Linked DNA regions of Nothobranchius furzeri. The protein of the gene in region 3 purifies or fractionates together with the protein of the main gene of each other region. This does not show direct contact. Links are inferred from orthologs where the notes say so. Each region holds a gene or a part of one and is shown on either strand. Other genes may lie near its edges.

Region 1 (4,086 bases), on a different chromosome or scaffold from region 3:
CAGCAGACAGCAACGGTCCATCCTGCTGAGCAAAGCATGCACTTCTTATTTTTAATAAGTAAAGAGCGTAGTATTAATGGAAGGTACTTTGACTAATCAAGACGACAAAAACGCACCACTGAGAGCCTGACCATATGTCTAAATCTGACTCCTTCATTGGACAGAAAGCTTTAATTTGTGCAAAAATTAATTAATGCTGCACATGAAAAAAGTTATCAAACTGCCATGTTATCTTGATCTATATCACCATTGCAAACATAAAGTGCAGCAGGGCTTTGCTTGTAATTCTCCTATTTCTGTTTTGTGATCCTGCCTCATTGGTATGACTAAAACATCTACTTACAATCTAAAATTGCACAAAGGAAACTGATAGACAGTGAAAACACAAACTGTCAAGTGGTCAATTATTTAACCTGCCATGTGACAACAGCATGATGCAGAGGGTCAAGCCTCACTGTGGCGAGTCCTGAGATAAAGACGGATCCTTGAGTCTGTTAACTAATCCTGACAGAGAGGTCCTGCCAACACCATTAGGGTAAATCTGTTTGAGTCCCTGCAGTCACTCCACACATGAATAGCACACTATGTTGTCAATGAAAATTACAACCAAATACCAATATAGTGATTCAGTCACATCAGTTACAATACCATGACAGTTGCAGACTAAATATGTTGCTTACTGTAAAAGCTGTACTTTTGGTGCTAGTTTTTTTTTTTGTTTATTTGTCAATTTAATTCTTATTTATTTTTTGCTTTGAAGTTTCATTCATTAAATGTTACAAAATATCAGTTTTGATATGTTATAAACTTAAAATTGTTCAAGCTGAGAAATTTCAAAAACTTCTCATATCTTTTTGACAAATTAAGATGTTAATGCACCAAAGCCTGCCTTAGTAATGAAAGCTAAATCAATATAGATAGGGTGCAAAAACAATATAACTCAGTTTGTATGTTAGAACAATAAACAATTAATTTTTCATTCGGGAAAAATATATTTCTATTTGTAATGGTATCACAATCAATTAAAAAATTACAAATTCATGAACCTCTTTATGACTTTTTTCCTCAATTATGACAGAGTTGTAGCCAGAATAAAAGCTGTTGACAAGCATAACTGTCAAACGTGCACGATTTTTGCATCTAGCTGTAGCCCACAGGTTTATGGGTATATTCTGTTGTCTAATGTAAAGCTTTTGCTGAAGCAACATCCATTTGCAGCAGGAACTAGGCTGAAAAGAAAGGATGTCATTTTTACAAATTGCTTAACCAAAGATGCAAACCAGAAACGAGCATATTTTGAGAAATACAATTTGTTGCATAACGACTAAAAGCAGCAGCCCACAGAATTAGCAAGGGACTGAAAAGGGGAGTTGCACAGCGGAATCGGAGAGCAGCAAACTGTTTTAGCTGCAGAATGCAACAAAGAAGTTGGGTTTTTCTGCTCATTTGTAATTGCCACACATTCAGGTTTGTGCGCTGACGTCTGTTTTAATCAGGATCTGTAACGTTCGGACCAGCATCAATGACTGCTCCCAAGAAATCTTTCTTTTCGTTTATTATTAGACACCGTTATGTAAAAGGAGGGGGCCCCAAAGTTCCAGAGATGCAGCCATGTAAAAACCGTACAGGTCCGTCTGGCGAGGCTCCCATGATGGTTGCAGCTCCTGTTATGCTAAGTAGCCACGATTATCTCATATGATGAACTATTTTTTTACGGGACGTTTCCGTACGTTAACAGGAACCTGGCAACAGTTGCACACATAAATAGTTAAACTGTTGCTGATCAGAGCGGTGAAGTATCCCGAATGTTTGCATTGTAGCAACAGACTGACTAACACAGCAGGAACAAGTACTTCTAAGCACCGATTGCATCAGTAACAAATAGAAATACATCATTGTACTGACCTGTTGCGTCCTTTCAGCCGGATTCATCATTACAGCCTGCCGAAAGCGGTTATCCACATAAGACGCCATTGTTTTGAAAGACGCCGAAAGAGATATACTCAGTTCCTTATCCTTGGGGAAAAAAAAAACGTTTACAGAAAAACAGAGGTGGATTTATGCACAAACAAGCCCACTTTTGGGGCTTTCTCTACTCTTGTCGGCTGTGCTCCGGAGCTCGAGGATGAAGCTGGGAGTGCCCGGAGCCAGGCCACGACTGGAGCCAGAGCCCAAGCAGGCTCCTCGGGAGTGTCCGTCCCTTCACTGTCCCGAACCAAAAAACGGCTTCCAAAATCAGTCCAGCTGGGCGAGAAAACTTCCTTTAGACGCGAGGCTCTGACTGCTCCTTTGAGTTGTTTTTCTAACCGTACAAAGCTGGCGTCTCTTTATCCAAGCCAGCGCTAGGTAAAGCCGTTCCTTTTCTCTTCAGCATTCTGCTAGCGACGGAAAGAAATTCCATAAAGGATCCGGCAAAAACAAAAAGTAAGCTAAAGGCTAAAAGCTATCCCGTCAACAACAACATGGCGTCCGTGGTAAAAATAAATGTTATATTCAACACAGTGATAAAACTCATAATACTGACGCTTCAATTAACCTAAAAGTGGGGATACATTGACCGCCGTTGCCGTGTTCTGTTGTAAGCCACCACCATGGTGACAGACATCATTACCAAATCGGAACAAAGTAGCAACAGCACTTCCTGTGCAACGTTTCAAAATAAAAGACAGGAGGCATGTTGTGTGGCTTAAAATCGTCCCCTCCCCACGTTATTATCAGATCATTTCATAGGTTCTCATGCAGAGAAAGAGCATAACGGTGTAAAAAATGTGACTAATACCTTGTTTTTCATATTACGGTAAAAGACAAAAAAAAAAGAAAAACATTCAATTAGCTGAGTACAAGAATATTTGAGCACGCTTGTTTTGTACCATATGTCGAAATTCTTTTTGTCTGGTGGTGAAGCGGTTGCACTTCCTGTTGTGATATTTTTTTAACTTGACAAAGATGTAGTCATAGGAGGCTCATACTGGACGAGTCCATCCGACAAAGAACGAAGAGCTGTCGTGTGGCATACATTATGCTTTGGTATATGTACAGTCTATGGTGCCACCAAGCGACTAAATAGGTAACTGTTTATCTCAATGAAAGCAAAGGCAGCGGGTTTGCCCTGAGGAGTCTCAAAAAATGCACAAATTATATAAATGAGAAAATGAATGAAATAAAGTCATTTCTCATTAGATATTATTTTAGATAATTACATATTTTGTGAAGACAAAATACTGGTGATGGTTCAGCATGTGAAGTATTTCTTATTAAAACAATGTAACTTGGTCTAGTGTTCCCATGGCAACAGGTGGTTGTTATACAACCAGGCATGACCCCATCGGCAGAACAATCAGATGGATTCCTGTTGTAAGTCGGTAAGGGGCCAGAATTTTGTTTCTAACCTGGAATAATTCAGTTGGAATAGAGTAAAAACAATGCAAAACACTAAAACAGCTCAAGAGAGGTCGCAGTATGGACAAAGGATGATTTTTACAGGTAAGTTCACATAAAATGTGTTTGGTCTACCTCAGAATATTCCAAACATTCATAGCAAGTTGCTTTCAATATTTCAAATTAATTGTTTTTTTTATTTACCTCTAAAATGATAATATTGTGTTTTGTGTTCAACTATGCCTAAATAATTTAAACTGAATTAAAAATAGGAAAAAAAATAAATTTATTTATTATTATTCTCATAATGTAAAATGAAATAATGTGAGAAAATCCAGGTTTGTACCTTAAGGGTCATTCTAGTGAAACATATTTTGGGACTGAGTCTAAATGTAGGAACTGACTGAAAGGTGAAACAGCCACTGGTTTAAGATTTCATCCAGGATACCAGCAGTAACACTCGGTATGATGCTTACTGACACCACCTGCTGACACCATCTAAATCCAAATTAAAATGTCCATGTAGCCTGCAGATAATCATTAAAAGATCGTTTAAATCAGTGAAACACAGTTGTGAATTTCATTTGTAACTAATGACTTTACTTTCATTATTTATTATTTTTAATTGTGCACTCTAGGTTTAATTTAGGTATAGGTTATTCAGGTTGTTATACCTTTTTAAAACATCCATCCAGGTCCAGATGGAGT
Region 2 (2,958 bases), on a different chromosome or scaffold from region 3:
AAACCACAACAGAAACCAACCACTGAGCGACAGATATAACAAAGTGATAAGCATGATGGCGTATTCAAATAAATGGTTACTTTTTATTCATCTTCAGCTTCAAATAAACTAAAAAAAAGAAAGAGGAAAATAAAACCATACTCATTTCAGTTATCTACAAAAATAAAACAAAAATTAGGTTGAAGAAAAGAGCAACTCTACATCACATCCATGTCATCTCAAACGATTTTCAAGTTGGAAGAAGGAAAAAAAAATAAGTCATCTTATTGTGAATTCATCAAACTCGAGCATTAACCTGCACTTCTATAGATCCACCTGTGCCGTTACCTTCCAGCTGTGCAACCTGATCTATGATCTCCCCACACACACACACACACACACACACCCATCAAAGACATAAATGAATACGTGAAACATGATTTACAAAAGCATGAAAGTAATGCTGAACAGTGCCTGGCCTTAACATAATCAGTCAGCGCTGTGCTCTCCCACCCCTGCAGCCAGGCTAGGATTTACATGATGAGTGGGACAAACCCGTCTCTGCAACCAACAGAAAGACCAAGAGGAAGGGAAATAAAACGTACAGAATACAGCAACTCCCTTTGTGTCGTTCTCACATCTCCCTCTCACACACACACGTAAATAACCAGATAAACGTTTGAACTTTGTTTTAGAAACAAACAAAATATATATAACACACGAATGAACATTGGACACTGGTCGTCTTTGTTGCCATTCGGTAACTAAGAGAAACAAGATTAGGAGGTAGAAAAAGAAAAAGAAAGTTGGGCCAACAGAGGGTGAAAAGGTTGTAGGAAGGGAACTCAGCAGGTGTTATTTCTTGGCCTTAGCGGCCTTGGCTGAATTTCTTGGAGGAGTGACCGGTCTTCCTAATCCCACTCCTCCTCCTCCTCCGAAAGAATACAATTTCTTATCTGCTGGCTTCAGAATCTGCAAGACAGATGAAGGAATGATCCACATTAAAATGGCAAACACAATTTCTTCTAATTTAAAGTCCCAATTTGAATATTTGTCAAGTTCAATATGTTAAACATCCGTTTGACAAGGAGCTAGGAAACACACACACACACACACACACAAATGATACGAAGATCACTCAGCTAAGCTACATGGAGCAGTAACAAACAGGCCGTGTGTTTACCCACCTGAAAGGAGCACATGAGCGTCTCGTCCACACTCATCATGGCACCAGCATTGTCAAACTCTCCACAGTAGTTGGGCGCTGAGAACAGAGTGACGAGTTGCCTCTTTGCGAAAAACTCATAACCATCTTCCACGACCTTAGCACAGAAATAAAAGTGTCAGAACAAAGACTAGTAGGGTTTCTCAGGTCCAGGTGAGAACGATTAAACATAATCAGGGAAAAAGATTTTCCTCCCCGACACGTTTGTGAAATGTTTGAGTTGCAGTTCTTACATTACAGTTGTACTTGAGCTAAATTAGGAACTACCGTACGTAACCTTTGTGTGCCCCTGTGAAGGGTGCATCCCAGTAAAAACACGAGGAACATAAAAGTGACTCAAGTCCGAATGAATCAGTGCTAGAAGAATGAAGAAGCCACTAGAGTCCTCAAAGGATTAAATTTACATAGATGACGCAATATCACAGCGTGTTGACTCATGTCCCAATAACACCCCCACAACAAGCAGAGATCAAAGTTAACAGGAGCAGAGCTTTCCTGGCGAGTTACACAAAACCACTCAAACATCACCTGGTGCGCCCTGCATATTAGGTCCATGTCATGTTTGTGCAAAAATTTGGCCACCACATCTGCTCCGAATGTGAAGGAGACGCCACGGTCGTTTTCGCCCCAACCCAGGACGTCTTTGTCTGGATCTGCCCACAGCAGGTCACACAACAAACCCTGGTCAGGCACGTCTGTGGGTCGCATTACTCTGCGGATCTGCTCCATGGACTGGAGGTCCGGAGAGAGGCCTAAAGACGACGCAGAGAGAACATCAGGTTTTGTTAGTCGTTCATATTTCATCATCCGTAAAGCACACGTTCACTAGCTCTACCTCCGTGACAGCAGAAGATTTTCTCATCTACAATGGCAGCCACAGGTAAACAGTTGAAGCAGTCTGTGAAGGTCTTCCACAGCTTTATGTTATACCGTCGCTTACCTACCAGCAAAGAAAAAGAAACATTTGCAGCATTTGTACAACCAACTCTGACTTGTTCATTATTCACAGACATCTTTTGCACTTACACTCATCATAAAAACCATAGATTCGATTAATAGAGGCGCACTCGTGATTGCCACGCAGCAGGAAAAAGTTCTCTGGGTATTTGATCTTATAAGCTAGAAGCAGACAGATGGTCTCCAGGGACTGCTTCCCTCTGTCCACGTAGTCCCCCAGGAACAGGTAGTTGCTTTCAGGAGGGAAGCCTCCGTATTCAAAGAGCCGGAGGAGATCATAGTACTGACCATGGACATCACCTGCAGGGGGCAGCAAAGAAACACCATGTCAGCGTTACTGTCATTTATGAGGAAGAATCCTATTTTTAACTAGCCAGCCTTTAAGTGGACCGTACCAATTCTGAAACTCTCATTCCTTTTATTAATAGAAAAAGATAATTTAGAGTCTTAGTGATATAATCTCCCTAAAATATTCTTTTGGTTTTTGTATTGTAATTGATCGACTTGCTATTTAGACAATTATGAAAAGAAAAGCTGATGAAGTTCACACAATAAAACTATTTTAAAGCTTTAATAATAAGGTCATTAATGGACGTGTTGTGCAAGACGAACTTGTCCTTGTCGCCAGATTAGCTGTGAACTTTGGGTGTGATAACCTACATTGTGGTTGTCTGATCAAGCAGAGTTTGGGCTTCGAGTTGCTCCAGAGGACTTTAGGTGACAAATACTATGACAAATGGTAGGATGTGTAATATGCTGAAACCCAAACAAAAGGCAGCCATTGTGTAAACCCAGGA
Region 3 (3,500 bases):
GGCTCACCAGGCTGGCCTCGTCCAGTTGGAACACTTTCATTGCAGATTTGAATCTGAAACGCTCCCAGTGGGATATGATTGGACGGCTGGGGTCATGTGGACAATGCAGCCATTTCATTACGCAACCGGTGGAAAGCCTAGGTTAGGGGGAACGACCAGTGGTGCCTCCAGAAATTTTTTTCTGCAGATGCTATGAAGGAGCTAGTCTTTTTATTGAGGGTGCTATGAAGGAAGTGGTCGTGCGTACCTATTGTTCTCTAAAACACCTTCAACACTAGCAGATACACATGCGTGCACAAAACCTCAACAACACCTGAAACAATCATTAATAAACATCATAAACATATGAACAATCGCTGACTTTTCCATGAAATCATAAACACAAACAGCCACACAGAAAACCATCTATAGTGTTGCAAGGTTAGCTAACGTTAGTGTTAGCATTTCCAGCGGCAAAACCCTCGACTGCTGCGGCGGTTGAGGGTTGACTCCATCCAGATCCGTAGGTTTTTGTGGGTCTGAGATCACTTCCAAACATTCATTCGTTTCTGACTGAACCCGTGGAAATGTGGGCAACAAAAACCGATCCATTTTACCACTAGCTCTACCTTTCACTCGTTCGCAGGTGGAAAATGAGGTCAAAGGTTAACATCAATTTCCTGTTTTGGTTGAAGTTTTTACTATCTATATGATAATTTACTGATTATTTTTGTTTTGTATGTTAAATATGATCACATCCACACGTTAAATTAAAATTAAATTGTAAAAAAAATAATCTAATATTTACTTGGGGGTGCAATGACTAATCCAGGGGTAGCTATAGCGCCCCCTAGCATCACCACTGGGAACGACTATAAAGAACAGGCGACTGAGTTCCACCGGGTGCATGAACAGCATGCCGCGGCAGTGGCAGCTGCATTGCAAGATCACATTAGACATCCATCCATCTCTATAACAACAATAGATGGAGACACTGACAGTTACCAACTGGTATTATGGTAAAAAGGAGGTGCGGCGTCATTTATAATGTTGTGATTCTTTGCTGCCAAGAAAAAAAAAGTCTAATCTTTTGTCCTGAAAAACACACCGATGCTCTCCTCAAAAGATGACGGAAAATTCGCCATTCAGTCACTGTCACAGACGTAACGGTTACATGGTTAAGCAATTGAAAATTTGCACTTGTCTTAATAAAAAAAGGTAATGGACCAGATGGTGTAGTATGCAAGAGTCTAATAAAAGCTTCAGAATCATCAGATTTTGTGTAAGAAGTTCCTCTTCTGAAGACGGAGCAGATGTATTTTACTTTAGTTGAGAAATAAAAAATAAAAAGAGATGAAACCAAAAGATTCCCGTCTGCAGCCAGCTTACCATAGCGTGGCTCGAGTCGTGGGTCAAGCCAGGATGTGGTTTTGTTCTTGTGGTTGATGTAGTAAATTTCTCCCTCTGGTGTTATGGCTTGTTCCCAGCCTTCAGGGAGGGGTCCTGAGGGATAACAGGGAAAAATAACATTGAACAAGTACTGGAAGTTGGCTGAATGCAGGAATTTCTCTTTACTGATATTGTTTCACAAAGTACACCAACGAACATTGAGAAGAATACGAAGCAGCGTTATCAAATGTGTGCACAAACAGAGATTAAATCAGGTTTATTTAATCGTCTTTGAGTGAATCACCGTTATCTGTCCCTGACAAACAAGCTCGTCAGCATCTGAGATTTTTTTTTTTATTATTTACCAACAAGCTAACAGGTTGAGCGGTATCAACTAGAGACAAAGAGAATGACGTCATCTGTTAAACTGATCTGAGTCACAGAGCTTCCAAACTAACAGAAGGACGCGTCCTGCCTCGGTCTTACCTCACCTGGGGCAAATTCCAAATTCCAAGTTGTGCACATTAGTGACAAGTAAGAACTAGACTGAGTTTTTCCTCCATTAAAGCAAAATTTAAGTAAAAACTTCACGATTCTAGCTAGCTGATTTTTGCACATACCACTGGTTGGGTTCATGAGAGTCTGCTGCGGGACTGGAACAGAACTTGGAGGAGAAGTCTGGTTCATCTGGAGCAAGGGCTTGCGGGGATCCTGCCAAGTGGTCGTTTTATCAATGTGGCTGCAACAAGAGCAGATGGCAAAATATACTTTAAAACACCTTAATCTATGGTCACATCCAACAATGTTACTTCATCTTTTTTCTGACCATCTCCGCATAGAGGGGACAGGGCAGGGGTGGGGTAGGGGCATTGTGTGCACTCCCAAGGCATTGATAATTACTGCTTTGTTGGCACTTGTTTCTTGATTAAGATGGAAAGCTAATACAGGAAGCCCTCCTCTCCCAGGCAGGTCCCCCTCTATTGAGGGAGGGTCAGTCCCAGGGCTCAACGCAGGGGGTCCCTTTTCCTGGAAGCGGCTCGGACACTGCGGAGTGTCAGGGGCTTTAACAATCTGGCGCCACATTTACAAAGCTTTCACCTGCTTGACAAAGGCGCAGACTGAGCTACGACCTAAAACCTAGCTATTCCCTTTTTTTTAACCATCCTATTTAGAACACACACACACGCACACACACACACCATCTCTCCCTAAAAGGCACCAAACTCCAGCAGCTCGTCTGCGCAAAGCCACTTTTTAATTGTAGTAAAGAGACTTAAGAGACAAAAGAGTTTATTTATTATGCCATGAAATATTCCCTTTAGTGATCAACAAAAACTCACTGTGTTTCTTTTAACAGCTTGGTGTTAATTTGATCCCAAAATGCCATTAGAGCAGATTTTGGAACAGCTGGATGAAGCGAGAGATTCAGTAAGTTTCCCTTGGCCCGTTCGGTAATCCCAGCCCGCCTGTCTGCTCTCGATCCCAGGCCAGAGAGCGAGTGGGCCTGACTCAGCACTCCTCCCCCTGACACAATGAAACCCATTCTGAAGCCCCCCGCTTGTTTATGCTTTATTGATCAAAGGAGCTGCCAAATCCCTTACCAAACCCTCCCCCAGAACCACCAACTCCTCCCTCTCCCTCTCTCACACACACAAAAACACCACAAACCACGCAAGAAAAAAAAAAGGCTGGATCGGCTCCAACTGAAGGTGGCCTTTCAAGAAAGCGAGGTCACGTGGAGCAGAATGAACGACTACAGAAAAGGAAAACCAGTTCTATAGATTTGCACAAGCTACAAGAGTTTCTGTGGCCCTGCTACAGTCACCCTCTGCCCCTCATTCCTCTGTAAGACCTGACAATTATTAGAGATAGAAGGGATCTTTTTGCGTTATTTGGGGGGGGGGGGGGGGGGTGGAAAATCAGAGGGTACCTTCAAAATAAAGGGCCAGCACAATACAGGACACCAAACAGGAATCAACAGTGATGGAAAAAAAAAGAAAAAGTAGAACATCACGTTCTACCAAATGCTGTTGTTTAGACGCCAACTTTGTGTTGTCCAATTCGTCAAAAAAAGATAAACAAACCCAAAGTTCAAAACAGAGGCAACGATAATCAAAAGTCTGTGCGTTATG
Region 4 (3,115 bases), on a different chromosome or scaffold from region 3:
ATGACTTGTTTTGGTTGACTACTGGATTTATGAAGGATTCTTAAACCAGCAGCTGTAGGAAGCATTTATTTAAGAGCAGAACAGAAAAACTCAGCCGAGAACTAAACAGTCTCCTGACTCTAGACAGGCTTGATGCTGCGGCTGTCTCAGGGATCTAAAGGCTCCGCCTACGTCAGGTACGATGAGCTGTTACTGTCTCAGCCTGTAAACATGTAGGCAATTACGAAGCTAACGCTACATACAAACAAGAAAACAGAAAAACCGGTTCAGTGTCTTCTTGGTTTAAAAAGACAGGAAGGAAGGTTGAAAGGTCGCCTTGCTGCTGCTGACTGGATGAGTGCTCCGTGCTTCTGTGCACCAACCCCCAACAGCCTCGGCTCAAAACAAAGCTCCATCTCTACCTCCGCTCTCGTCTGATCGCGGCGACGGCCTTGTTGTCACGCTGCTGTCTTACAAAACGCTCTAATGAGTGGCAGAAATCGTCCGCTGACCTAATTATATGACCTACAAAGTTCCCCGGGTCATTTCACAGCTCGACCTCGTCGTCGACACTGACATTCCTCCTCCTCCCCGCCTCATCCATGGTGCTCTCTTCAGGCTGTCGCTGGGGCATCCTCTGCTGCGCGTTGGTGTTTGAAGAACCAGCTTACAGGATTGTAGGTTGCTAATGAGGGTATTTGGGGATGGGGCACCAGCGGCTGCAACTTCTATAGAACAAAGAACTTCCTACTTCCTGTGAAACTAAGTACTTGTAATGAAGATCCAACTATTCAAACAGACACAAAGAAATGAGGCTCCAAGCAGACCAGGGAAGCTGCGGAGGTGTTGGCTCAGTTCTACTAAACGACACAAACAAACCCAGATGACGGCTCGGGACTCCGGCCCAACGCCGAAGCGTGATGAGGGTGCATCACGCCCAGCGTCACTCATGATGAACAAGAAGAGACATGTATGACTAGGGTGTTCATTTAGCAAATGACCTGTTTTATCAGGGAGAAAACGTCAGTTTCTGACTGCAGCTGCTCCTCTGCAGAAAAGAGGCGGTGGAGATGATGAACACACGTTTGTGACTAAACACAAGGAAGCAGGCTAACGAGGTCAAACACAGAAAATCCGTATTTCTGTGTTTTTTCTGTTTGTTTCACAAACCTCGTTTTTATCCATGTTGACAGAATGACACGCTAGGGTTAGCCACTACAGTAATAATGTGAACGTGCTGAAATGGTTTGATAGAAACTTTATTCATCATCCTGTGTTGGTGACGAGAACGGCTGTTATTAAAGTTTTTGAAATCCTCCCAGAATAATCTTTCAAAGTGTGTTTCCTTTTAAATAATACCAACTTACACACGTTAGAGGCCTTCGTCCTGGTAGGAAAAACAGTTTGTCTGACAGGACTGATGGGCTAACGGCTAGTTTAGTGAGTAGCATAAGATTTGTTTTTCAAAGATCACGCGTGCTTGTAGCACAATGATAAGTCAAGAGAAAGGCAGCAGCAGAAACGTCTGTTTTGTTTTCGGCCGTGTTTACCTAGGTCATGAAGGTGTCACACGTAATGTTTTTTTTTTACTAGTTAAGCATATGCACATGCATTTTATTTTGAAAGTTACCGGATGTTTTCCACATCTCGTGTTTGATTTCCTGTCTGGCCCAGTCTGAGCTGCTGAGGTTGGTGTGTTCTGGAAGAGCAGCGGGTAAAAAACAGACCAGCCACGTAATCAAACACACTTCTGAGGCTGGGGAAACACACCCATCAACAATAATGGTGGCTAATAGCTGCCTACGAAGCTTTGCAGACGTTATACCATGCTTCTGCTTCCGGTGGAAGTCTGGGATTAGGAGGGTGGAGCCATTTTAAAATGATAGAAAAAAAACGTTTTTGGCTGCGATGGACTAGCTGCTAGCTAATCAGTTCAGAGAGACTAACCCTTGTTTTTACCAGAAACGAGCGGCGTGGACCAGTCAGCGAACTTCCAACTGGGAGCTTTTCAGAAACAAATCAGGAGAGGAATTATTCCACGCAGCAGGTCCCACAAGGTCACAACAATCACATGGTAAGATGAAAGATGGCTGCATGCATCCAGTAAGGTCTGTGGCTTATCGTCTTTTGTGTTTACTTCAGCTGCAGAGGTTTCACAGGAAATTACATTTTTTTTTACTAGCTAAGCAACTGAAAGTCTGAATGTGACTTTTATTTTGAAAGTTTCTGGATGTTTTACACTGCTTTCGTGTTTGACTTCCTGTCTGGCCCAATCACACCTGCTGAGTTTAACATTTTCTGGAAGCATATTGGGTAAAAAAATAAACTGAAACATAGGCAACGCGCCACTGTCCTTCCGGGACGAGTCCAAACCATGATGCTGTGCAGCCGGTGGACAGGCACCCGCCCACGGCTAATAAACTTCATACGTTTCACGTCTAGTGGAAATTACTCCAAACGGAGGCTGCACACAGAGGGACCTCACCTTGCAGGGTTTGGAGGCACTGGCCCGTCTTGATGTCCCAGATCTTGACCGTGGAGTCCGCGTTGCCTGAGACGAGGATGTTGTCTTTCAGCTCCATGCCGCTGGTGAGGGACTGGTGTCCCGTTAGAGTGTGGATGCAGTTCCCCGTCTCCACGTCCCAGACCCTTATGGACGTATCCAGAGAGCCGCTCACCACATGAATCCCATCAAACTGCAGACACAAAGGATCAGCTGTAAGAGGGGCCGTTGCTTGCAGCTGTTAGCAGCACTTCCACTTACAAACTTCAGATTAAAGTCATTGAAATGGATTCATTTTATTGATCTGTGGGGCTCGTCTTTTTGTCCCTTCACCTCCAGTAAGACAACACGTTTTAAACATCTAACAGGTGAACAAAAACAATCAATCAGGCTGCAAACGGCCTTCTCTCTAACCTACGTGCCTGGTCAGAGGACACACTGCAGGCTGTCTCTTTTATAGAATTACTCCTAAACTAAAAAAAAAACAACTTCCACTCAGCCTGAGCAGAACTGCCGGTTCAGTGGCGGCTCACCTGTAAGGAGTACACTCTGTTGGTGTGGCCCTGCAGCGTGTGGAGGCAGGTTTCCGTTTCGGGATCCCAAACTTTGACCATGAAGTCGTAGGCACCGCTG
Region 5 (4,125 bases), on a different chromosome or scaffold from region 3:
ACTAACGAGGACGCTGCAACTTTCTGAGATCTGCCGAACGAAGAAAAATAAACTCTGCCTTGATGGACCCACCAGTGACAGCAGTTGGAATTCTGTGAGGTATCTTTGTTTTGCTTTGTTTGAAGCACAATTTAAACTACTTAGACTCAAAGAGAGACGACAAGCATGCAGTAGATCCTTAAATGTGCTGCTGTCGTAAACATCAAACAACGGGCTTCTTTTCAAGGCCACAATGCAGCTGCAGGAAAAAAAACTGCCCTGCTCTTCAAAGAAATTCCACCTTAAGTTGGAGTTGAAGCCGTTTTGCCCTAGTCAAGTACTAACGTATCCTCTGCATAAAAAAATACAATGAATCAAACAGGGAAGCTTGCTCCATAAAGTATGTGCTCCAGTTTCTCTGAACAGAGACCTTGGGCCATTTTCGTTGCACTCTGCAAGCAAGAAGACGTCTAATTATAGATTTAATGTGAGCATCAAAAGAGCTTAGAGACAATACATGAATACTGTGGCATTTATTTGACCCAGGTTTGTCCCTGATGAATGAAAACAAGCAAATCAGAGCATCTGTTGTCCAATAAAGGAAATTACTGATGCAGCACAGTGTTGGAGATCCAGTCGTACGTCACAGCAGGGTTCCGTTTTTCACCACCAGCTTTTCAAGGTAAATTGTTTGTGTTTCATCACCAGCTGGGGTGGGGTCAGAAATGAATCATCCTGCAAAGTTTCAGCCCACAGAGAGCAGCTGTTTTCTGCTGATTTATGAACCAGAGCCTCTAGAAGAGCTGCAGCAAACCAGAGGAGGGCACTAAAGAGGCTGCTCCTCCCATCAGCTTTCCTGGATACCATCCAGAACATTCATTCAAGCTTCCTAACAAGGTTCCTGGTGTCCAGACACTGACAGGGTGCAATCTGATGAAGACTGGAAAAACTGAGTTTGATGAGCTGAAATTATTATTTGCTATTAAGAAAGTGAAAAATATCAATAAAAATGTTGCTTTGGTTACTCATCATCATCTCATTCATATTTCTATAAAGCTAAATCAAACCTAGAAACCTAATCTTGAACTAAAAGTATTCAGAATGACACTAAACTTCTAAAATGAAGTTTTCTGTTCCAGATTTAGTTACAGAAGTAACTGCTACAAAATTTGTGATTTTGTTGCTGCGTCTGATCTCTTAAAATTTCACATCAATACAAATAAACAAGATAAGAAATACGCAGAATTCAATCTGTCATTTATAATTACCTAAAAATGTCAACAGAATGCTTTGTCCACCGAGTAATCAGCTTTACTAGGGTCCCTGAACGCACCATGACACTGGCAGCTAGCCTAGCCGAGCTAACTTAGCTAATCTGATTTATCGTGCCAGTTAAGCGTACGAAACGGTCGGCTGGATTTACGAATTTAGTTTTTTTTTTTTTTTTTTTGTATATTTCTTGTATCGCAGTATCTATTTAATACCAGATAGCCTCTCATTTCGAGAATGGCATCTCTGGGGGAACCTGTGCGACTGGAAAGAGGTAATGTTAATTAGCTAGCTAGCTTTATTTGTTGTGAACGAGAGACGTTTACCCAGTTTAGCTCTAGTTGTTTGAATCAAACTGGGAGTTGTTTTTTGGTACATATTTTGACATTTGCTTGTCATAAATGTATATATCTGATATTGCCCGTAGAGCTGCGTTTTACTTGACCAAGCTAAACGAAGCATACCTTAGCGGTATTTGTTTAATTCGCTCACTAGCTAAGTAGCTAATAACAGCAGCGATTGACCAGCCCAGTCAGTATGTTGGGAAATAAATGCGAGGTATAATATTGTCATTAAAGCAGTAAAGGCACGTTTTGCTTCTCAGAAATTACACGTCGAACATGACGCAAATTGCATTTGTTAAAGTGAAATAAGCTGTAATTGTCACATCTGTGTAAAAACAAGTGAAAGTATCAGTCCGACTTTCATTGTGAGCCAGCTCTGGTCACAAACATCAAAGAAAAACTAAGAAATCTTTAATCGGAGCTTGTTTACTGAGTGCTTTTTGAAATCGATTTTAAATATATTTCTGAATTGAACTGGGAGCTCATGAAGAGATATTTGTAATGCAAACTTTATTTCTGCCAGTATCCTGCTACATATCTTAATTTTTTGATATTTTGAAAAATTGCAGGTTGTTTTTAATCACTTAGAAACCGTTGAAAGTAGGTGATGTGTATTTTAGCCTTAAATGTACTCGTCTCTAGTGGCTTTAAAAGTGTTCAAATGATCAAATCTGTTGTGGGAACTCGTTTCTCTTCCATTTATGCCGATTATCACTTGTTAGTCGCTTTGGACAAAAGCGTCTGCTAAATACATAAACAAACATTTAGTTAATAAATGTCAGGAATCTGATCATTTAACATCGGTCTGTGCCGCTCAATCGAGATGACTTTAAATGTGCATTATGTAGAAATTAAGTAAAAATGACATCCTTTGGTAAAATTTGGTTACGTCAACCACATTAAAAAACTCTGGAGCTTTTTGCCGGCCGTCGTCAAATTACAGTTGTCTGCGCTGCAGTGTTAGCTCGCAGGAGACACGACAACCCAACTCACTGATGGTAAACAATAACTATGTCCCTCCTTCCTTTGTTTTGAAAAAAGAAAAAAACTGATAATCCCTGCAGCCAGCTGGAAATGAAATATGTTTCAGTAGAACTTTCCTCGCAAAATGACCAAAACATGACTCATTTGGGATTTTCTCGCTGTAAAATTCTCACTATATTTCCACATACTGCACCTTTAATAATACATAATGAGTGTGATTGATAAACAAGTTTTGGCCTTCCTGTGCAGTAGGGGGTGCTGTTTATATTTTACAGTCATTTATTTCACATGTAATTTTTTACTGGTTGATATAAAAACCCTCTGAACTATTTAAAATTTTCTTAAAAATTTTTACCCAGCAGATGTTCTCTTTTTTTATTTTTCAACACCATTCAGGATTTTGAATCTGCTTCATTTCACTTATGCAGATCACTTCTTTCAGAACAAACCCAATGGAAGTCTTAGAATATTTAAAGACATGTCCAGTAAAAGACAAGAATATAAATCAAATAGTCCTTTTACGTAGATTTATCGAGCACCTTTTCTGCTTTTACTTTTAAGACTTGAGTGCTGGCATCAATACAGGCAAATTTAATGCTCATTTTAATCTTTTATAGTGGTTTGTTTTGGACTGTGTGTAAGCTGTGATGGCATTATGCTCTCTTTGATAGATATCAATCGTGCAATTGAGCTGCTTGATAAGCTGCAGAGAACAGGGGAAGTGCCTCCGCAGAAGCTGCAGGCGCTGCAGCGAGTCCTACAGAGTGAATTCTGTAACGCTGTCAGAGAGGTGAGACTCTTCATTCCAACTCTAAACTCCACAGATTTTTCTTCCTCCTTGTTATAAAGTTCTGTTCGTTTGGTGCTTTTTCCCCCTCAGGTTTATGAGCATGTGTATGAAACGGTAGACATCAACAGCAGTCCTGAGGTCAGAGCCAACGCCACAGCTAAAGTAAAGCTCATACACAAGAAATCTCCTCCGTCTCAAAACTACTTTATGCATCAATTGTTGTACATTTTTAAAGAGTTTGTTTTATTTTCAAAGGCTACTGTGGCAGCTTTTGCAGCAAGTGAAGGACACTCCCATCCTCGTGTTGTGGAACTGCCCAAGACAGAAGAAGGTCTGGGTTTCAATATAATGGGCGGAAAGGAGCAAAACTCGCCTATTTACATCTCGCGGATCATCCCAGGAGGCATCGCTGACCGACATGGAGGCCTGAAAAGAGGCGACCAGCTTCTCTCTGTTAATGGGGTGGTACGTGCAGCTCAGAGAATCATTATTAGGTCAAGAATTGTAAATTTGAATCTTAATATGAAGCACGTATCAGGTTTTAGAGCATGTTGCTTTTTTGGGGAGGGATAATCCATGCATCTTCAGAAATTTCTGCATACAGAAAAGCCCAAACGACTGACTTTTAGTGTTAGAAGTTTTTTTAATATTCTGGTTTTTAAAGGGCTACGTGTTCATAATCCTGTGATCACTCATAAGCAGGTATAAAGTCTGAGTCCGATTACATCTCCATTAGTTAGCTTGATGAGGAGGACGAGG
Region 6 (3,500 bases), on a different chromosome or scaffold from region 3:
AACAGCAGAGAACGTCTCAGCTAGTAGAAGCTAACATTAGTTTTAGCAACTCCACCACACAGCAGAACTCCTCCAGGCTTGTTTGTGGAGGTAAAACATCAACGATGCAGAGCAGAGTCAGTGGTAGACATGTGCTGATGTTAGCCAATCAGAGGAGAGGTGTCCAAATATCAGGAAATAAGACTCTTATACTTTCTCCTCCAGCTGACTTCTCTGTACCACACACACACACACACACACACACACACACACACACACACACACACGCGCACACAGCAGATCTATTAAAAATATGAGTGAAGGGCATTTCCAAAGTTTATATGTTCTAAACAAAATGTGACTTTTCTACCACTTGCTAAAAAATTCTGGTGAATCTTTCTTTCTTCACGAGTCTCTGTTTATTTTCCAGGTGTCTCTAAAATCTCCGGAAGCAGCCGTCACTCTGCCCATCGTCATCGGGAACATCCCTTTGAACTTGTCCCCCTCCGTGCCTGTCCCCACCAGTCCAGGGCCCTCACTGGTACCCGGCCCTGCAGCGGCGACACCGAGTGCTCCGCCAGTGGAGGACGGCCCAGAAGACGAACTGTGCGCGGGGGGGTTTGCTAACGAAGAGATCCCCACCAAAAGTCACTCCCAGCAGGACCCGCTGATGCAGCCGGTCACCATGTCTCCCAGCGCCTTCAGCCACGCGCCGGGAGCAGCGCTGCCGCCCGGCCACAGGCGACCCGAAACTTCCGCTCCGTTGTTCTGCCTGTCCACAGGAGCGACGATACCTTTCTTCACGGAGGGAAATGTGACTCCAATCCCCACCTCCTGTTCTCTCATTCTCCCTCCAGAATACAGCTGCTGTGACTATCCCCAAGGTAAGAAAACCCAACAAGCCTCTGCTCAAAGAGGTACTGGCAGTTTCCCCCAGAAAACGAGTTAAGCCCGGCGGATTCGGCCGTCGTCGGGGGCGGTCACGTCACGCGCTCCGTCCCACAGCGCTCCTCCGTTAGAGCGGGGGTGAGGTGGTTGCACACGTTCCGCTCTTGTTTCTCACCAGTATCAGCTGATGGAGGGCTCTAGTTTCGATGCGCCGTTGGTGTCAGCGGACACGGTAGGGTCGGGGAGGGGGGCGGGGCATGACGTTTAGCCTGGCGGGTGGCCAAGCAAAGCCTGACTGGGTTAGTAAAATCTAAACTTCAGGGTGTTTAGGATCAAATCTCTTCAAATATTTATCTCCTTTGGTGTGTTAAAGCTCAGTTTCCCTCCGCTTACCGTCAGCAGCTGCTTTAAGCGTCAGTCCACCTAAGTGGTCAAACGCGTTTCACGCTCATTCAACGTTTTATTCAAATCTGTAAACTAATCTGAGAATTTAATCCTGATGCCTGTGCTGTCGACCTGTTGGGAGGCGAAGAGGAAGCAGCCTCTTTGTGTGTGTGTGTGTGTGTGTGTGTGTGTGTGTGTGTGTGTGTGTGTGTGTGTGTGTGTGTGTGTGTGTGTGTGTGTGTGTGTGTGTGTGTGTGTGTGTGTGTGTGTGTGTGTGTTTGTGTGTGTAAACAAGCTAACTAACACACTCAGAGAAACAAACCGTTTTTATTTCCTACATTATCACAACAACAGTTACATTACAGGTAGAGGCTCTGTAGGAGCGTTAGCGGTGGTTGTCATGGTGATATAATTCATGAAGGATCTGAATGCGTCGACGGTCGTAGCATCGTTATGTTCTGTCTAACACAGGAACAGAGAGTGTGTTTCCGCCCGGACCGTTTTAGATGTGACACCGATGGCTTTAGCGTGTTTTCCTGATTCCTGCTGCTGCTCGCCTTCCCGGCCAGTTTCAGAAACCGGATTTTAATAGAAATGTAAGTCAGATTAAAGGGATGTGAAGTTTGATGTTTAGAAACAGCTTTTCACCAGGTAGCCAAACAGGCGCACACACCTCTACGTCCAAAACCACGTCAGTAATGTTGTTGACATCACGTCCTTCTGTTGTTGCAGAGCCGCCTCCCACCTACGAGGAGAGCTGCAGTAGTGTGAACTCCAGTTTTACTGCTGGACAGTAGAAGAAGCAGGCGGTCGACCATCGTGGCCACGAACACCCTCACATCTGCCTGCCCCCCCTCCACAAACTAGATCCGGATGCTGGATGGAGGAGGACGGATGACGACTCCACCCTGCGAGCGGCGTAAAGCTCTTCTCTGATGAATAAAGGGATTTTTCTTATTTGAATAGGTTAGGTTTCACCTGGCTAGCGTCAGACGTGTGGCCAACATCACTGTGCCTACTGTGGGTCCTCGCTCAGCGCTTAGGGATGTGTAGGAGGTTGCTGGATGTTTGTTTGGTTTCATTTAGCAGCTCGTTGCATCTGTGAGGCCTTTAGATAAAAATCTAGCCACTGATTAATGTAGAAGACACCTTTATTTACCTGATTCACCTGTTGGTCTGGGGTCCTCACGCTAGGTGGACATGCAGCTACAGGTGCTGATTCTTCTGCCCAGCTGGAGTCATGTGACCTGTCCAATAGCAGGATGATGCAGAAAGTATCCGGTCGAACCGGAAAAGGAGCCTGAATCTTCTGGTCTGGAAGAGGATTCAGTGGTTGTGACATGGTGGTCTTTAAAATCAGGAGTTGCTGGTAAAATGCTCTAAACCGTTAAGCGTTTTGTGATTCTTTTCTGTCCCAGCAGTCAGACTTTTTATGCATCAACCGTTATCCGTTTTTTAAATAATAGTTTTCCATGAGCTTTGGCTGTTTTTCACTCGTTTTCAGCCCGGACCTGACAACGTTCCAGCACAAGTTTGTCTTTTTATCTGTAAGGATTGTTTTTGTCTAAGGAAACAAGTCGCTCCAGTTTCTTAGTCGTATTCATGAGAAGTACCATCAATATCGCAGTCAGACAGAAAATAGGATTTTAGCTTCAGTGAGGTTATTTTTGGCAAGGCAACTTTATTTATACAGTATAGCACATTTCACACACAAAGGCTTTTCAATCGGAGCAAGAATATTCAAATTCACACGACAGAAAATCCATCCATCCATTTTCATCCGCTTATCCGGAGTCGGGTTGCGGGGGCAGCAGACTAAGTCGAGAGGCCCAGACTTCCCTCTCCCCAGCCACTCGGGCCAGCTCCTCCGGGGGAATCCCAAGGCGTTCCCTGGCCAGGTGAGAGACATAGTCCCTCCACCGTGTCCTGGGTCTACCTTTAGGCCTCCTCCCGGTTGGACGTGTCTGGAAAACCTCACCAGGGAGGCATACTGACCAGATGCCTGAGCCACCTCAACTGGCTCCTCTCGATGTGGAGGAGCAGCGGGTCTACTCCGAGCCCCTCCCAGATGACGGAGCTTCTCACCCTATCTCTTAAGGGAGAGCCCAGCCACCCTGTGGAGAAAACTCATTTTGGCCACTTGTATCCGTGATCTCGTTCTTTCGGTCACTACCCAAAGCTCATGACCATAGGTGAGGGTAGGAACGTAGATCCACCGGTAAATCGAGAGCTTCACCTTCTGACTCAGC
Region 7 (3,986 bases), on a different chromosome or scaffold from region 3:
TCTCCGAAACTGGGCGAGGTAGACACTTTCGACAGATGACGTTTGATGCTGTTTTCTCTAAGTGACAACTCAGGTAGCTGCAAAACATCATTTCCATCCAGAACGCTTATTTTCTCTCTCTGAAAGAAATCTTCTGAGAATTCAATTCATGCATCCAAACTCGTATTTCCAATTTAGCTTCCATCCAGCCACAGGTTTGCTTTTAAAACAAGTTTAAAATCAAAGCTGTTAAAAATTGTCATTAAATTGTCATCCATGAATTGTCGTTCAAATCTTGAAGTTTAAAATTGTTAGTAATAAAATGTCTTCATTTTTAAACTTGCCTCAGTATTGATTTGAAACACAGAAGGGTATAATATTTCTGGTTATTGCAAAGGAAAGATTCCTAGCTTCTGATTCAAAATAAACTTTTGTTTCACATTTAATTATCTTAAATAAACATCAATCTTTGGATTAAAATTAGACTAAACAGGTTGGTGTATGAACTTAGATTGTATACGTATCCTGGATATTTATACACGATCTAAGCCTCATAGGTTCATCTGACTGGTCATTTTCAGAATCTCCAGCTGAAGAGCAACAGCGTTGGTTCTAGTATGTAGACTGATCACTACACATATTAATAGTCTCAGCAAGGTGGGCCACAAATTATTCCTGGGTGACATAATTAATCCGTGAAAAAGCCTTCCTAAAAGTATAAAAACACAGTTTTCTTTTACTCTGATTAATGAAACTTTCTTTAAGGTTGTGATAATGAGCCACTGCTGCTGGAGCGGTATCTATTTATAGCCACGCCACATGTGCTTCAGAGTAGACGGCTGAAGTTTACAGATAAACGCGGCTGTAACGTTAATACTGATTTCAGTGGTAAGTCCTGATCACAGTTTGACATAAAAATATAGAATTCTGCTTTAGTCTGTGGGACTAAAAGGATTTGCGGTTTACAGGAAACGCGGCTGTCAGCCTTTTCTGGTGGAGGCGTTTTAGTCAGTGGTCCTGTTTGAAGTCATTCTCCACACGTGCTGTTTTCCCAGATTTCTTCCTGGCTGATAAAAGCGGAGAGTCTCCAGAAGTGTGGCAGGACTTTGACCCGGTGAGAAGACCCCTGTCCCTCTGTTCCGCGTTCAGGAGAATTGTGCAGAAATGAATGTGTAGTTTTGGAATTTGAAAGGAAAGGCTAACGCTAGACACACTAAGAGGTGAGTTTTAACTTTTTTTTCTGTGCTATAGATATAATGTAGAAGATTTACGACAAATCTATCCGAGACAAATGGATTAACAACTTCAACATGTATTGATCACATTTATGCAAACTGTTCTGAAAAATGTTTTAACATTACAGGGAGTGCAGAACTATTAGGCAAGTTGTATTTTTGAGGAATAATTTTATTATTGAACAACAACCATGTTCTCAATGAACCCAAAAAACTCATTAATATCAAAGCTGAATGTTTTTGGAAGTAGTCTTTAGTTTGTTTTTAGTTTTAGCTATTTTAGGGGGATGTCTGTGTGTGCAGGTGACTATTACTGTGCATAATTATTAGGCAACTTAACAAAAAACAAATGTATACCCATTTCAATTATGTATTTTTACCAGTGAAACCAATTTAAACATCTCCACATTCCCAAATATACATTTCTGACATACAAAAACAAATCGGCAACCAATATAGCCACCTTTCTTTGCAAGGACACTCAAAAGCCTGCCATCCATGGATTCTGTCAGTGTTTTGATCTGTTCACCATCAACATTGCGTGCAGCAGCAACCACAGCCTCCCAGACACGGTTCAGAGAGGTGTACCGTTTTCCCTCCTTGTAAATCTCACATTTGATGATGGACCACAGGTTCTCAATGGGGTTCAGATCAGGTGAACAAGGAGGCCATGTCATTAGTTTTTCTTCTTTTATACCCTTTCTTGCCAGCCACGCTGTGGAGTACTTGGACGCGTGTGATGGAGCATTGTCCTGCATGAACATCATGTTTTTCTTGAAGATGCAGACTTCTTCCTGTACCACTGCTTGAAGAAGGGGTCTTCCAGAAACTGGCAGTAGGACTGGGAGTGGAGCTTGACTCCATCCTCAACCCGAAAAGGCCCCACAAGCTCATCTTTGATGATACCAGCCCAAACCAGTACTCCACCTCCACCTTGCTGGCGTCTGAGTCGGACTGGAGCTCTCTGCCCTTTACCAATCCAGCCACGGGCCCATCCATCTGGCCCATCAAGACTCACTCTCATTTCATCAGTCCATAAAACCTTAGAAAAATCAGTCTTGAGATATTTCTTGGCCCAGTCTTGACGTTTCAGCTTGTGTGTCTTGTTCAGTGGTGGTCGTCTTTCAGCCTTTCTTACCTTGGCCATGTCTCTGAGTATTGCACACCTTGTGGTTTTGGGCACTCCAGTGATGTTGCAGCTCTGAAATATGGCCAAACTGGTGGCAAGTGGCATCTTGGCAGCTGCACGCTTGACTTTTCTCACTTCATGGGCAGTTATTTTGCGCCTTGGTTTGTCCACACGCTTCTTGCGACCCTGTTGACTATTTTGAATGAAACGCTTGATTGTTCGATGACCACGCTTCAGAAGCTTTGCAATTTTAAGACTGCTGCATCCCTCTGCAAGATATCTCACTACTTTTGACTTTTCTGAGCCTGTCAAGTCCTTCTTTTGACCCATTTAGCCAAAGGAAAGGAAGTTGCCTAATAATTATGCACACCTGATATAGGGTGTTGATGTCATTAGACCACACCCCTTCTCATTACAGAGATGAACATCACCTAATATGCTTAATTGGTAGTAGGCTTTCGAGCCTATACAGCTTGGAGTAAGACAACATGCATGAAGAGGATGATGTGGACAAAATACTCATTTGCCTAATAATTCTGCACTCCCTGTACATCAGTCCTGTTGGTTTTAGTGATCGTAATGTTATTGCCCTGGTTTATAAAACAAAAATTCCAAGGGCGGCGCCAAAGGTAATTTGAAGAAAAATGTATAAATCTTTCTCTGAAGATGACTTTTTTAGAGGTGTGGCCAATATACAGTGGGCAGAGGTACTACAACACACATCCTGAGTTAGCTCTGGACAACTTCTACCAGTTATTTGCAGGAGTATGTGATGCACATGCGCCAATAAAAAAAAAGTATCTGTTAGACTTAAAAGATCCCCGTGGTTGGATGATGAAATACAGCAAAGTATGAGAATCAGAGATGAAAAGAAAAGGGTGGCTGTCACATCGGGAAGGCTGAGCGACTGGGAAGATTATCGGGTACTAAGGAATAGGGTAAGAGGTTAAATAGACAAAAGAAAAAACAATACTATCAAAAGGAATTTCAGAAATATAGTAAAAATGGCAAACAATTATGGAGGACAACAAACGAACTTATGGGTGGAAGTAAAACTGTCACGTTGAGGGTTGGAGGAGTAGGACCCAAAATGCAGATACCCAGAACGACGTGAGGCAGGGGTAGATGTAAACAAAAACATTCCTTTATTAGGAAGACGGGAAAAAAACCTAAATAAAATCCAAGGAGGCAAAATCCAATAAACCTGGAGACCTAGAGAACTGGAAAGGCACGAAGATGGGGCCAGGCTTCACAATGAGCTCACCCGAAACTCTGGCTGAATAGGACCCACACCCACCCTCACACCTTGGCTCGTGTGTTTATGTAGAAGATCGTCAGGGGGTCTTTTGTTCCCTCTTCGAGGGGAAACCCCCACTGGGTTTGAATCTGGGACTCTCCACCATTTGACCTTAGAACTGAAGAAGCCTCTCGGATGAGAGGTGAAACATCTTCAAGCAACTCAAAGAAGTCCAGACGCTTTTCTTTCAAAGCTCCTTAGACTACAATGACCTGGATGACTGAGAACCTTCACAGACACGAAGCCAAAACCTAGAGACCTAAGGAGGGGAGGGGAGGGGAGGGGAGGGGAGGGGAGGGGAGGGGAGGGGAGGCAACGTTTGACACGAAACAATGGACCCACAACA

Evidence for each region.
Region 1: the proteins of yap1 (region 3) and rapgef2b purify together in Homo sapiens (affinity purification with mass spectrometry; 3 studies listed by BioGRID and IntAct, with this or other methods). This does not show direct contact. The link is inferred for Nothobranchius furzeri from reciprocal best matches to the Homo sapiens genes YAP1 and RAPGEF2.
Region 2: the proteins of yap1 (region 3) and ppp1caa purify together in Homo sapiens (affinity purification with mass spectrometry; 5 studies listed by BioGRID and IntAct, with this or other methods). This does not show direct contact. The link is inferred for Nothobranchius furzeri from reciprocal best matches to the Homo sapiens genes YAP1 and PPP1CA.
Region 4: the proteins of yap1 (region 3) and fbxw7 purify together in Homo sapiens (affinity purification with western blotting; 4 studies listed by BioGRID). This does not show direct contact. The link is inferred for Nothobranchius furzeri from reciprocal best matches to the Homo sapiens genes YAP1 and FBXW7.
Region 5: the proteins of yap1 (region 3) and lin7c purify together in Homo sapiens (affinity purification with mass spectrometry; 5 studies listed by BioGRID and IntAct, with this or other methods). This does not show direct contact. The link is inferred for Nothobranchius furzeri from reciprocal best matches to the Homo sapiens genes YAP1 and LIN7C.
Region 6: the proteins of yap1 (region 3) and arrdc1b purify together in Homo sapiens (affinity purification with mass spectrometry; 3 studies listed by BioGRID and IntAct, counting the BioPlex papers as one, with this or other methods). This does not show direct contact. The link is inferred for Nothobranchius furzeri from reciprocal best matches to the Homo sapiens genes YAP1 and ARRDC1.
Region 7: the proteins of yap1 (region 3) and rpl18 purify together in Homo sapiens (affinity purification with mass spectrometry, with the first as the bait; 4 studies listed by BioGRID). This does not show direct contact. The link is inferred for Nothobranchius furzeri from reciprocal best matches to the Homo sapiens genes YAP1 and RPL18.

The regions. Positions count from the first base shown.
Region 1 is NC_091741.1:75,547,956-75,552,041, forward strand, and holds the start of rapgef2b (rap guanine nucleotide exchange factor 2), read right to left. Parts: upstream 2,801-4,086; 5' UTR 1,975-2,800; coding exon 1,906-1,974; intron 1-1,905. Other genes in the region: protein SPMIP2, read left to right, coding at 3,423-3,483, 4,074-4,086. UniProt on the Homo sapiens protein: Functions as a guanine nucleotide exchange factor (GEF), which activates Rap and Ras family of small GTPases by exchanging bound GDP for free GTP in a cAMP-dependent manner.
Region 2 is NC_091745.1:8,622,297-8,625,254, forward strand, and holds the end of ppp1caa (protein phosphatase 1, catalytic subunit, alpha isozyme a), read right to left. Parts: intron 2,462-2,958; coding exon 2,231-2,461; intron 2,145-2,230; coding exon 2,040-2,144; intron 1,957-2,039; coding exon 1,733-1,956; intron 1,302-1,732; coding exon 1,167-1,301; intron 952-1,166; coding exon 835-951; 3' UTR 501-834; downstream 1-500. UniProt on the Homo sapiens protein: Protein phosphatase that associates with over 200 regulatory proteins to form highly specific holoenzymes which dephosphorylate hundreds of biological targets.
Region 3 is NC_091753.1:45,044,991-45,048,490, forward strand, and holds part of yap1 (transcriptional coactivator YAP1), read right to left. Parts: intron 3,063-3,500; exon of another isoform or gene 2,912-3,062; coding exon of another isoform or gene 2,709-2,911; intron 2,108-2,708; coding exon 1,989-2,107; intron 1,483-1,988; coding exon 1,369-1,482; intron 1-1,368. UniProt on the Homo sapiens protein: Transcriptional regulator with dual roles as a coactivator and corepressor. Critical downstream regulatory target in the Hippo signaling pathway, crucial for organ size control and tumor suppression by restricting proliferation and promoting apoptosis.
Region 4 is NC_091747.1:80,718,727-80,721,841, forward strand, and holds part of fbxw7 (F-box/WD repeat-containing protein 7), read right to left. Parts: coding exon 3,016-3,115; intron 2,676-3,015; coding exon 2,465-2,675; intron 1-2,464. UniProt on the Homo sapiens protein: Substrate recognition component of a SCF (SKP1-CUL1-F-box protein) E3 ubiquitin-protein ligase complex which mediates the ubiquitination and subsequent proteasomal degradation of target proteins.
Region 5 is NC_091749.1:64,462,198-64,466,322, forward strand, and holds the start of lin7c (protein lin-7 homolog C), read left to right. Parts: upstream 1-1,325; 5' UTR 1,326-1,485; coding exon 1,486-1,522; intron 1,523-3,247; coding exon 3,248-3,366; intron 3,367-3,456; coding exon 3,457-3,528; intron 3,529-3,621; coding exon 3,622-3,831; intron 3,832-4,125. UniProt on the Homo sapiens protein: Plays a role in establishing and maintaining the asymmetric distribution of channels and receptors at the plasma membrane of polarized cells.
Region 6 is NC_091746.1:74,951,065-74,954,564, reverse strand, and holds part of arrdc1b (arrestin domain-containing protein 1b), read left to right. Parts: intron 1-409; coding exon 410-863; intron 864-1,983; coding exon 1,984-2,048; 3' UTR 2,049-3,500. UniProt on the Homo sapiens protein: Functions as an adapter recruiting ubiquitin-protein ligases to their specific substrates. Through an ubiquitination-dependent mechanism plays for instance a role in the incorporation of SLC11A2 into extracellular vesicles.
Region 7 is NC_091745.1:76,499,324-76,503,309, forward strand, and holds the start of rpl18 (large ribosomal subunit protein eL18), read left to right. Parts: upstream 1-1,186; 5' UTR 1,187-1,199; intron 1,200-3,986.